Oryzias latipes: one gene and its partners. The protein of the gene in region 2 interacts with the protein of the main gene of each other region in a pairwise test. Links are inferred from orthologs where the notes say so. Each region holds a gene or a part of one and is shown on either strand. Other genes may lie near its edges.

Region 1 (4,257 bases), on a different chromosome or scaffold from region 2:
CTGGCAAGAGACGGTACGGCTGAATAGCTCCAATATTGCTCGCCATTTTTGTTGCACCGCTAGCGTTAGCTTGGGGTTGTAAGTTAGTGGGAGAAGTGTAACCACACCCAACACCGAGCAAACTTCTAATGAACCACTGCCACTCTGCAGAAACTATGTCCTAGAAACGGACACAGAATTTTTTTTTTTAATTATTTTGCCCCAAAACAGTATAATGATAATTAAAAAAACACTGGAAATTTTTTTTTAAATAGATTAAAAATGACTGGAGTGGGACTTTAAAGCTTGAATGCTGACAAACACATGATACTATGAGCAAAAAAGGCAAAGGTCGCCTTTTAATTAAACCTTGTCTATGTAACAGAATTAACATCTAGTTTCAAGACTTTGACTTTTGTTCAAGTTAACCCATAGCTGTGTTCAGCTTCAAAACTATAGTGGGGGTAAAAAAGCAGTTTCTTCCTCAAGATCAGGATGTTTCAGCAAAATATAAAATCACCATGAGAAAAAAGTTATTCTGATTTAGTTCAAATTCAGAACTCAAATGAAAAACAAAACCCAAAAGAAATTGCCAACAATATTTAAATAATCGGAAAGTGGCGTGAGATTCTGGCAAAGCCTCCCCATGGCGCGGTGGCAGTTGTATTTGTGAATGTAGCATTACTGGCATTGTTCCAACACTTCTACGGCTGTACAGTAATCCCCCGCCCATTCGCGGTTTAATATTCGCGCCCCGCCCATTCGCGGGTGGCCACAGATGACGTGACGTCAGAAGCATGAGGCACAGAACAGCGCTCAGTCCGCAAATTTTGAAAAACGATTTACTCTGTACTTTACTGTAAAGTATTGTTTACGCGTTTAAGATGCCATCCAAACACCCTGCATCATCTCCAGCTTCTGGAAATGAACCCAAACGGCAGAAAAAGGTTCTGACTCTGCAGAGGCTCTGGCTCTGGGAGTTTTAAAACAGCGTCAATCATTCGCGGATTTTTGTTATTCGCAGGGGGTGAGGAACGTAACCCCCGCGAATACGGGGGGATTACTGTATAGCAAAAAAACTGATTGGATTTCTTTGGAACCGGAAGCAAGTAATTTGCTCTAAGTAACATCACACTTCCTATACAGTCAATGGTTTGGAAACAAAGGGGGCTTTCGGAAAGCTGAAGCCCTGGAAATCACAGCCGTTTTACACGGCCATGCCCACAAGCCTGGCCCACTATCCCCCATGTACGGAGCGTTACATCATTGGCACAGACACCCACCTTCCCGAGTGATGACGCAGCCCATGGAGGAGAAGCAGGAGGAGGAGGAATGTGAGAGGGTGGGGGTGAGGAGAGGGTGTCCCGTCTGCGCGCAGCTCAGTCAGACAGCAGAGAGCAGCTGCAGCAGAAGGCTCGTGTTAAGTTTCACTGCATTGCGATTTCAAATATCGATTATTTTACCCACATAAGCCACCCGAATAAGCTTGACTAGGCAACCAAATATCATAGAAGAAAATGGTTGATCGCGAGCAGCTGGTGCAGAAAGCCAGGCTGGCTGAACAGGCTGAGCGGTATGATGACATGGCAGCTGCTATGAAGTCGGTAAGTCACTTTCCAGAGAGGATGAAAATCGTGTGAGTGATGGTGAGTCTGCTGCGTCTGCGTAAAAACGCGCCACGGCTGTAAATCTGCGCGCACGCTGGCTCAATTTTACCGGCGCACTGATCCAAAAAATTCGAATTTAATCATAATTTGCTCCACAGTTGAGGCAATGTTGACACCTCACGTCCTCTTTTTTTTGGAAAATTATTTTTCATTTTTTACTCAGCAGTCGGGTCCAGACTTTCCGGTGTTTGGGCGGTGCCTCTGTCGGTTGTACATTTTATTGAAAGGGTATTAGAATGAAATGCATGCAAGCCCCACTATGCATCATCTGCCGCTCATCATATAATGGCCTTGCTCACTTCCATTAACTGCCCCCCCCCCCCCCTCTTGTAGTACCCCACCTCCTCTCCCTCCATTATGTTGAATTCATACAGTTGGAGCCTCTGCTACATCATGTGAGCTGCCTCCACCCCCATCCCCCATTCTCTTATACTTATCACTTAAATTATAACGATAATAATTACCCACAACTGCTCATGTTGATACAAGGCTTAAGGGCATTATCTGAGCATGATCACCTCAGGAAAAAGCCTCTCTAATCCTTCATTTCATCAAATAGGAGGCAGCACTAGAATATCTGCTGTCATATTGCAGAGACTTATTTCTATCCCAGACGTTTTAGACTCTCGTCTGTGCTCGTGTCCGTCCTGAGTGTGTCAGGGCTGAAATCCAGGGGCGATTTAAAGTTATTTCAGGGGGACGACCCTGATTGAGCAGTGCAATATATGATGGGAAGAGGATGACATGGCTGGCTTGCCACACATTAGCTCTCTCAGCTCTTATTGGCTGCTCAGGACTAAGTCTTTGTCTGCTTTTTCTTCCTCTTTCCCCCTCCCTCTCTCCTTTGGGGCCCTTAAGAAATTTTGACACCGGATGCACCGGTGGGCATTAAGAACTGCTGTGTCACACCAGCTCACAGTGAAACCAGCAGCATCCAGACTTGCCAGTCCATGCCCAGATAAAGAGCCCGGCACGGGAGGAACATTGTGTCTTAATGCCCCTGTAGAACATCAGAGCCTATTTGGATCGTTTGCCATGAAGGGTTTCTGGTTGCAGGTGGTGAGGAGGGATTCCTTTGCCTTTCTTGATTCTTTTGAAGAAGAGGTGGGATGGGGTGGCGGTGAGGGGTGCCCTTTTATTCGAAGGGAATCCCTTGCCACTGCATCCACAAATGACAAATGAGAGGCTGTCACCTTCGTGTTCCTCATGAAAAATGCAACGCTGCTCTTCGTGGTTATCAATTAAAGAAATGGCCTTCACAAATCAGCTTCGACCAGCAGCGTGAAACCAGAAAAATCAATCCAATTGTTAAAAAAAAAAAATTTTTTCTTGACACCAGCAAATATTTCCTTCGTCATTCAAATAACGGATGGGCCACTCTTAATGACCTTGTTGTAACCCTTCAATAATGACAATTGAACGCCAAAATGTTTGATGTACGCCGAGCATAGCTGCAGTTCCAGCAGTGATCGCTGCAATCATTAAATTTTAAGTGCTCCTCTGTTCGTGCGCTCTACAAAAATTATTATCAGATCAATATGAATCTGCTTCATTTCATAGCGAAAGCCTCACAGTTGTCGCCTGCGGTCAAATCGGATCATTGCGTGTGCATTTTTGGACAGGCCCTGTGAAGGCAATTCCATCTGTGCCAATTTAGTGACGTCACGTGTGCCATCTTTACGCCCCTCTGACTGAACAGAGAAAAATTGAAAGCGTTGGTATAGTACAGCTGAATATCAGTGTGTCTTTCCTGCATATGTAACAGCCGTTTTTGAAAACTCCATCGATCTATGCCAGCACAGAGCGCCTCTTCCAATCATTTACCCAGAGTGGTATGACCTCTGTGCAGTCATACTGATCCATCCAGATCCAAAATTATCTGTCCGAGTCAGAGTGATGTCACATCACGGAGCTTAAAACAGGTAAAAAGGTCACTTAGAGCCGAAGAGAAGGTCAGTGGGACACGTGCAGTGACAGTTTTCATTTACACTGCAGCTGCCCTTGAGTCCTTGTGGGAACATTTCTGTCTCCATCCTTCTCGTGCCCCCCCCTCACTGGAGCAATCTAAGTACAATATAATTTCTCACTAGCTAGCATTAGATGTACACGTGGCAGCTGGAGCTACTGATGTCTAAATGAATGGATTGCCATGGAAACTAGGAATTGGACAAGCCCAATCTCACTCATTCGCGTCACTGCAGACGACACTGACCGAATGATAGAAGGATGGATCCTTTCTCCGGATGAGCCAAACTAATTGTCATTGTGCAATGATTCCATTGTTTTCTTTCATTGCTTTACAAATGTAGTTTGTGGGCCTCAGGAGAAATTCTTTAAGTGCATCCCTATAGAGTGATTTGCCGTCATTGCAATCAGACTGGAAGGGGAAGATGAGTTAGCTGTTTTATAACAGATTGTTCTTAGCAAATTTATTTCAACAGTTTTTAAAAGATAGAAAAAAGCCTTCCCTTTTTTAATATTTCGTGAAAGATTTATTTTCTTAGTCAAAATTCTATTGCATGAATTATAGCCTTTTGCGCCTTCCTTCTTCCAGGTCACAGAGCTGAACGAGGCCCTGTCCAATGAGGAAAGGAACCTCCTGTCAGTGGCC
Region 2 (4,259 bases):
ATTGATGAGTTACAGGAAGTTGCTTAGTTAATACTGAACTTCACTGTTTGCATATACTGCGATGCATGACACATCCTGCAAGTTCCTCATGCATCCAAAAACAATTGAAGCTACACTTTGAGATGGAATACATCAAGAAACCCCTGACATGAAACAGAACTATTTCCCTTGGAAACTTCACATTGTGAAGAAAAATTAACCAATTCATTTTCCATTTCCTCCTTTTGTTGTGTGCATTAACTGTGATTATACCAGTAAATATATGTCTTTTTAAACCTTACATCACATCAGACTGTCACAACAGACATCTTCAGGTTATATGTGAGGCAGAAAGCAATGCCTCCCAGCAGAAAATTTGTATTCAGTCACATTTGAGTGACCGCAGTCTGACAAGGGGGGTGAAACATGTGACAGAGACTGGATGGAAACATGGGGCGTGGAGGCATTTTAAAAAGATTCATTGACCTTCACACCCCTCACAGAGACACCCCCACTTGCACACACCCACAGAAAAAGCAGGGGATAAACCCCTCAACTTTTAAAAAATGGAAACACTCATTGCTGACCGTAAACAATAGTGCAGCGTGATGAATTTCCAAGTACAATGCGTCAAGGCCCCAAAGTAAATGTTTGTCTGCCTCGGGATGTTCCCACATTACAGCTCCTACGTAACAGAAAACATGACCCAAAGGAGCCGGTGTGAAAGTGGAACCCATGCACCTCGGTTGATGTCATTTACAGTAACCCCTCTTGTGAGTAATGACATCTCAGAATGTGCATATCAGATCCTCCTATCTCATGAACACAAACCTTCTCTGACATAGAAAATGAAACAAAAGTTAACGCCTCTGTGGGGGGATGACATCTGTTGTTTCTAAAATTGACACAAAAAAGTTTTGAACTAACAAAGGACCACAGGGTTTGTGTTTTCAAAAATCCAACCAACTTTGTGGATCTTTGCCTAAACATACTGCCCAAAATTTCTTCTCGGAAGTAGCATTTCTTACCGTTGGTGCGTAAAGGTACCATCTTCTTCAACTCCCGACACCAGTTGAGCTTCTTCTCCTGCTCTAACGAGGCCTGCATGGCTCGGTCCAAGATGGCGGCTTGAACTACCTCCCTGAAGGCCTGAGGAAAGTGGTTCATGGCGATCATCTCTAGCGTGTAGCGGTGCATTCCGCGCAGGTGATGCATGAGGCCGCTGGTGGAAGGCTTCACCACATCATTGGGCACTCGCTGGCGGATCTTCACCGCCTTCAGCAGGTTAGAGACAAACAGGAATTTGGGGAGGAAGTTCTGGCCCTGCGACATGACGGATGGCCAGGAGAATGGGTGGAGGGGAGGAAAAGGAGTGAGGAGAGGAGGAGGAAGCACCAGCCGACGATGACCCAGCAACTTGCAGGCTAGAGACACAGAGAGGTAAAACAAAATAAGTGATCTTACAACCCTAAACAACATCACAGGCTCCAAACCTAGATTTCACCTAGTATTTAATTTTCCTCAGGAAACCACCAATCACAGTAAAGGGTTCCTTTGTGGATCAAGTTAGGTGATTCTCCAAAAGGGTCGAACTTACGTACAAAGAAACCTTTATCTCCTGGTGTGTTCTAATACTGTGTTTTTCACTTTGACTGGTTTTTCATTGATCTCAAAGCTTTCCAACAAAAGACTGGTGTTTTCCAGAGTTACACTGCAGGCCACCCAATATCGCTAGGGCTTCTGGGAAGGTCACGAGACAGGCTTTCCCCTCCTGTCAACACCTTACCAGCTGTTAGCTTGCGTCAAACGTGTATTTAAAAGATTGCCAGGACTCAATATTTGTTAAAACGTTTTTTTCTGTACTTTATACATTCAAATAAAGTTTATTAGAGATTGTTGTAAAAAATTAGAGCTCAAAAGTCACGTGAAGGTGGTACAGAGGGTCTAGTTGAGCAGTTTGGGCTAAAATGAGAACTTTCCCAGCCTATTCATGAAGTTCTGAGCTGATAGTGAAACCAGTAAGTTGACAAATGAATGTCAGGCTTCAACAGCAGCAGGTGCAACAGCAGGGAAGGCCGTGCAGGAGCGCCGGTGACCGCGGTGCCGTGCTGCTGTGTCTGGGCTGGACGTCAGGGAGCCCGTGGACCCGCGGGTCGTCTCGGCATGAGCGGTGCGGGAGAGCGGCGCCCGCACGGTCGCGGCAGACTTCGCTGACGTTCGAGGCTTACGTAATTACAACGACAACTCCAATGGAAACAATGTGCCGTTCCAGACCGACAAGAAGCCGCTGCCAGCGGCACCGACGGCGCATTCGGTGGCGCGGAAGCGTCGCCCAGCCGCTTCACGGTGACGTCTTTGTAAACAATGGCTGTCAACGCCGCTGTCGTGAGCAGGCTTCACGCTTCCTCCATGTCCCCACAACCACGACCGTACATTTCCTCGAGGCCCGAGCGGGGATTCAGCCGCTTAATCTCCCGGAATTGTGCAGAAATGCCTACATGTGGAGGCAGAAGGAGGAGTTGGGGCTGGCGTCTTACCTGTGCAATATGTCGGGGTAACAACAAAGCCTCCCGGATGCTCAAGCAAGTCCTCTCTCAGCCACTTTACTCAGCCTCACCGCAGCAGTCTTCGGCGCCATTCACCCTTCTGTTTCCTCCAACAGCCTATCAGATCTATTTCGGAACCTTTGATGCTCGCGAAGCCTTTCGAAAGACTACAGGCGTCCACTAACACTAGTTTTTAAAAAAGGAAAAAAAAGAAAAAGAAGAAGTTAGGGGGATTTCCACACAGGGACTTTCCGTCCACCCATTTCCCTCTCTGTAAAAAAAAACGTGCACTTGCGGCACTTTGCCGCTAGGAGGGGCTCCACTGTCTGACTCAGTACCGTGAAACATATCCCACCTACTGAGCACAAAGAAGCGTCACTGAGGTAGACAGACAGGTCGCGTCATCCTCGATTTCATGAAATAAATCATTACCCCTCAGTCAGACCTCTCCAAGTTAAAAAGCCAGGAAACGGAACAAAAAACACATTCTGAGAAGCAGATGTCCCCTTTCTCACGAGTTGAGCATAAAATAGTCTTTCAGTGATGACGTGAGACTGTTTCAACTGTTTGGAAATTATGTTTTTCTATTCTTTTGCCGCTTTAGAAGCAAAAACGTTACTCCTGCTGTCATGCAGTAGTAACTTAAAAATATATTCAGTTTTCTCCTTTTAAAAAAAAGTTTTATGCACAATTTAAATCATATTCATTTTATTTTGTGCACATAAGAGACCAAACACAAGATCCTAATAAATACAAAGCTGCAAGAATGTAACCAGTTAGTGCAATAAACAAAACATCTAATCATGAGTGTGTCCTACGCACCACCTCAATATTTTTGTTTTTTGAGGTATTTTGCTCCAACAACTCTTAGCACCACGGTCTGCACAAGAATGTGTTTTTTTCCCACTTAATTGGCTGGTTGTATAACTTTATTTTATTTTATTTTTCCTTCACCTCAATTTTTTGCACATTTTTCCTTTTTTTAACCTATATGTTTCTTATTTGACCTTAAATTTGGATTTATACACAAATTTAGAAAAAGATGCCAGCAAAATATGCTTACTTGCAGCTTAAAAAAAACATGCTGCAACCTCAGAGTCTACACATCCCTGAACCAAATGTCACACCTGTCGTTTGTGGAGATTGTCAAGCTCTCAATGGCTAGGGCATCAGCTGCGTGGTGGAGCACACCAACCGTCTCAATGTGGTCAACCCAAGTAGGAGCGGTTAAACTTTGCTCCAGCTCTCAAGCAGAGTTTGCTGATGTTGCACATGATTCACCCTGTATTTATTGTGCAAGAAGATTCTCTGCTATTGTCTGCAGGGTTTGTGAAATATCAAACAGCCCCACAAGAAAATTAATTTTTTTATTCATTCTTGCTGATGTCTTAAAGCAGAAAACCCAACTTTAAATCAAATCCAGTACAAGATAGTATTTATATGACACATCATGTAAAAAAATGCAAACAAAATAAAGTCTTTACAAAACAATGTATTTTAAGTTGTTAATTATTCAACAACTAGATTAGAGACATGGGTAAACTACCATACAAAAGAAGAAAATTAACACAAATTGAAAAAAATACAACATCTTGGATTTTACTTACCTGTGGGAACAGGTGTAAAAGTTATGATCTCCACTGTGGAGAAATATACAGATGAAGCTTTGGGTCCTGTTTACCTGAGCAAAGCTTATAAAACTGTACTGAGATGCCCCTCACTTTCCACTCTCCT
Region 3 (3,163 bases), on a different chromosome or scaffold from region 2:
AATAACTCACAACACATTAACTCATAACACAACACATTAACTCACAACACATTAACTCACAACACAACACAATAACTCACAACACAACACATTAACTCACAACACAACACAATAACTCACAACAGATTAACTCACAACACAACACATTAACTCACAACGGAAGTAAAGCAGCAATGGAAGTGCTTTTATTCTGAAATTTCCACTGGGCTGATTGGCTAACTGCCTAACAGAAAGTAACGTCACAGTGAGCTGTGGAGGGAGCATGTTTCTTCTACAAGAGAAGCTACACAATGTTAACGCACACTCCTCCGCGCTGCACTCACACCCCTCTCTGTCGCTGCGCGTGCTCCGCTCCTCTCCGTTCTTCAGCCCCCTCCTCTCACACTCACTCGGTCCCCAACACCCCCCACCCACCCACACACCCTCCCAGTCCCTGCACGCGCTCCTCTCCTTTCTTCCCCTCCCTCTTCCTCTCACACACGCACGCGGTCCCCAACACTTGACACGACACATGTGGAGAAATCCCCACTGTCAGGCTTTAATGAACACAATTTCTAAGAGGCGGGGCGTTGCACTCCCCCAACAACAGGTTAGATGACAAAACCCGGTCCATTAAGCTCTGCCGTTCACGGAGCTTCAGTAGAACTCCAAAAGCCACACGGCCTAACGTAGGCCGCTATTATATATTCATGAGTGGGAAAAAACCCGCTGAACCGACCTTTAAACCATACAAATTATGCATTTTTGACCGCAAATTTACACCCAAAACCGCCCAATCTGGCAACGCTGCTGCTAGCTTCTCTTGTAGAAAATCATGCTCCCTCCACAGCTCACTGTGACGTTACTTTCTGTGAGGCAGTTAGCCGCTCAGCCCAGTTGAAATTTCAGAATAAAAGCACTTCCATTGCAGCTTTACTTCCGTTGTGAGTTAATGTGTTGTGTTGTGAGTTAATGTGTTGTGAGTTATTGTGTTGTGTTGTGAGTTATTGTGTTGTATTGTGAGTTAATGTGTTGTGTTGTGAGTTATTGTGTTGTGTTGTGAGTTAATGTGTTGTGTTGTGAGTTATTGTGTTGTGTTGTGATTAATGTGTTGTGTTGTGAGTTAATGTGTTGTGTTGTAAAGTTAATGTGTTGTGTGTAAAGTTAATGTGTTGTGTTGTAATTTATTGTGTTGTGTTGTGAGTTATTGTGTTGTGTTGTGAGTTAATGTGTTGTGTTGTGAGTTAATGTGTTGTGTTGTGAGTTATTGTGTTGTGTTGTGATTAATGTGTTGTGTTGTGAGTTAATGTGTTGTGTTGTAAAGTTAATGTGTTGTGTGTAAAGTTAATGTGTTGTGTGTAAAGTTAATTTGTTGTGTTGTGATTTAATGTGTTGTGTGTAAAGTTAATGTGTTGTGTTGTGAGTTAATGTGTTGTGTGTAAAGTTAATGTGTTGTGTTGTGACCCTTCTGGGCCACCGTACTAAATAGTGCCTTCAGCATTTTCTAGTTCTGTCCGAATCTACAATTCCAAAATCCAGTGCCCTGGAAATTTCCCTGAAGTCTCTGCAAAAAAACCTGTGTGCATCGATGCTCACTATATCATTTAATATAGACCACAATGCATTGCGTCGGAACATTTTATACCAAAATAAATGCGTTAAAATGTATTTTTTTAATAGACCATCAATGTTTTTATTTTCAGGAGACAGTGGACTCATAAATAATCGTCGCAAAACGCTCACAGCACTTCGTGAAATTGATGACATCATATTCGCCGTTTAAAACAAAAGTAGTGAGCGTGGCGTCCGAATTGCTGTTAAAATTCAGGGCTCGACATAGTGCAGCACTATAGAGTTTTTTAGTAGTTAGGGGTTATGGTGGGAATTTGGACAGAGCCTTGATCTTATTTTGAAAATGTTCGTGTGTTTTAGAATTTGGATCAGTTTTTTTGTTCATGATAACTTCTCTGAATCAGTAGGAGTAGAGTGGTGCGTTCCAAGGCATTGAAAGCACCGTGTTGTGTTTGCGTGCGGCTTCTCTCCCGATGCAGGACGACTGCAGGGTTGTTCTGGCAAAGCAGGAGATCAGCTGTTTACTGGAGACGCTTCAGAAGCAGCAGCACCAGTTCACGGAGCTGGCAGACCACATCCAGCTGGACGCCGGCATCCCCGTCACCTTCACCAAGGTCTTCGTCTGCGTTTGGAAACCTTTGCCTCGCGGTGACAAACCCAAAGCTAAACTGAAACGTGTCTTCAGGACAACCGAGTTCACATCGGACCAAAGATGGAGATCCGGGTGGTGACTCTGGGGCTCGATGGGGCTGGAAAAACAACCATTCTATTCAAGCTGAAGCAAGACGAGTTCATGCAGCCCATCCCAACCATCGGTAAAGACGTCTGCACTGGTTAACCATACGATCTTTGAAAGATTGAGTTGAATGAAACTTGGTTCTGGTTCTTTTTTGAGGCTTCAACGTGGAGACCGTCGAGTACAAGAACTTAAAATTTACCATCTGGGACGTTGGTGGAAAGCATAAGCTGAGGCCGCTCTGGAAACACTATTATCTCAACACTCAAGGTTGGTGCTTCACTTGTTATTCTTCTGATTAACTTATAGTGGTTAAATGAAAAAGGAGATTTTGCTCAGCTTTAGTTTCTTTTTTTATCGACCAAGAACTTCGCAGATGGGGTCTTCTGGAAATTGTCTCAGTAACAGCAGGAACAGACTTTTTTTTAACTTTATCTAAAGTTGTTTTTAGACTTTTTTTTGTAAACTCACTTTGAGGGAATTGCACCACAGACTTGTCCTGTAGTCGTCCTCATCCAGAGAGTCGAGTTGTAGTAAATGCTTGTGTGCAAAGCTCACTTTAAGCTGACTGCATATGAAAACTGGACGGAGTGACTCCTCCCCCCTGGCGTCCCAAACAGGAGGTAAATCCTGGCTCCCAGAAGCCAAAAACCTATAGACTTCTATAAATAAACCGCTATTACTCAATCAATGAATGATTTTTCACCTTTTCTATCACAATTTAAGGCTCCAGCAGAAAGAAATGGATCAGAGTAGAACTACCAATCAGATTGACTTGATTTCAATTTATTTAACAATTTACATTTAAACCAAATGGATGTTATTTTTACTTTTGCATAATTAGTGACATAATATGAAATGTGATAGAATGTTTTT

Evidence for each region.
Region 1: the proteins of tnfaip3 (region 2) and ywhag interact in binary tests that used the Homo sapiens proteins (3 or more experiments, as listed by UniProt). The link is inferred for Oryzias latipes from reciprocal best matches to the Homo sapiens genes TNFAIP3 and YWHAG.
Region 3: the proteins of tnfaip3 (region 2) and trim23 interact in binary tests that used the Homo sapiens proteins (3 or more experiments, as listed by UniProt). The two-hybrid records come from large-scale screens. The link is inferred for Oryzias latipes from reciprocal best matches to the Homo sapiens genes TNFAIP3 and TRIM23.

The regions. Positions count from the first base shown.
Region 1 is NC_019871.2:9,989,284-9,993,540, reverse strand, and holds the start of ywhag (14-3-3 protein gamma), read left to right. Parts: upstream 1-1,339; 5' UTR 1,340-1,496; coding exon 1,497-1,583; intron 1,584-4,200; coding exon 4,201-4,257. UniProt on the Homo sapiens protein: Adapter protein implicated in the regulation of a large spectrum of both general and specialized signaling pathways. Binds to a large number of partners, usually by recognition of a phosphoserine or phosphothreonine motif.
Region 2 is NC_019873.2:16,684,784-16,689,042, reverse strand, and holds the start of tnfaip3 (tumor necrosis factor alpha-induced protein 3), read right to left. Parts: upstream 2,857-4,259; 5' UTR 2,517-2,856; intron 1,404-2,516; 5' UTR 1,312-1,403; coding exon 1,008-1,311; intron 1-1,007. UniProt on the Homo sapiens protein: Ubiquitin-editing enzyme that contains both ubiquitin ligase and deubiquitinase activities.
Region 3 is NC_019870.2:3,055,351-3,058,513, reverse strand, and holds part of trim23 (E3 ubiquitin-protein ligase TRIM23), read left to right. Parts: intron 1-2,030; coding exon 2,031-2,165; intron 2,166-2,236; coding exon 2,237-2,366; intron 2,367-2,446; coding exon 2,447-2,557; intron 2,558-3,163.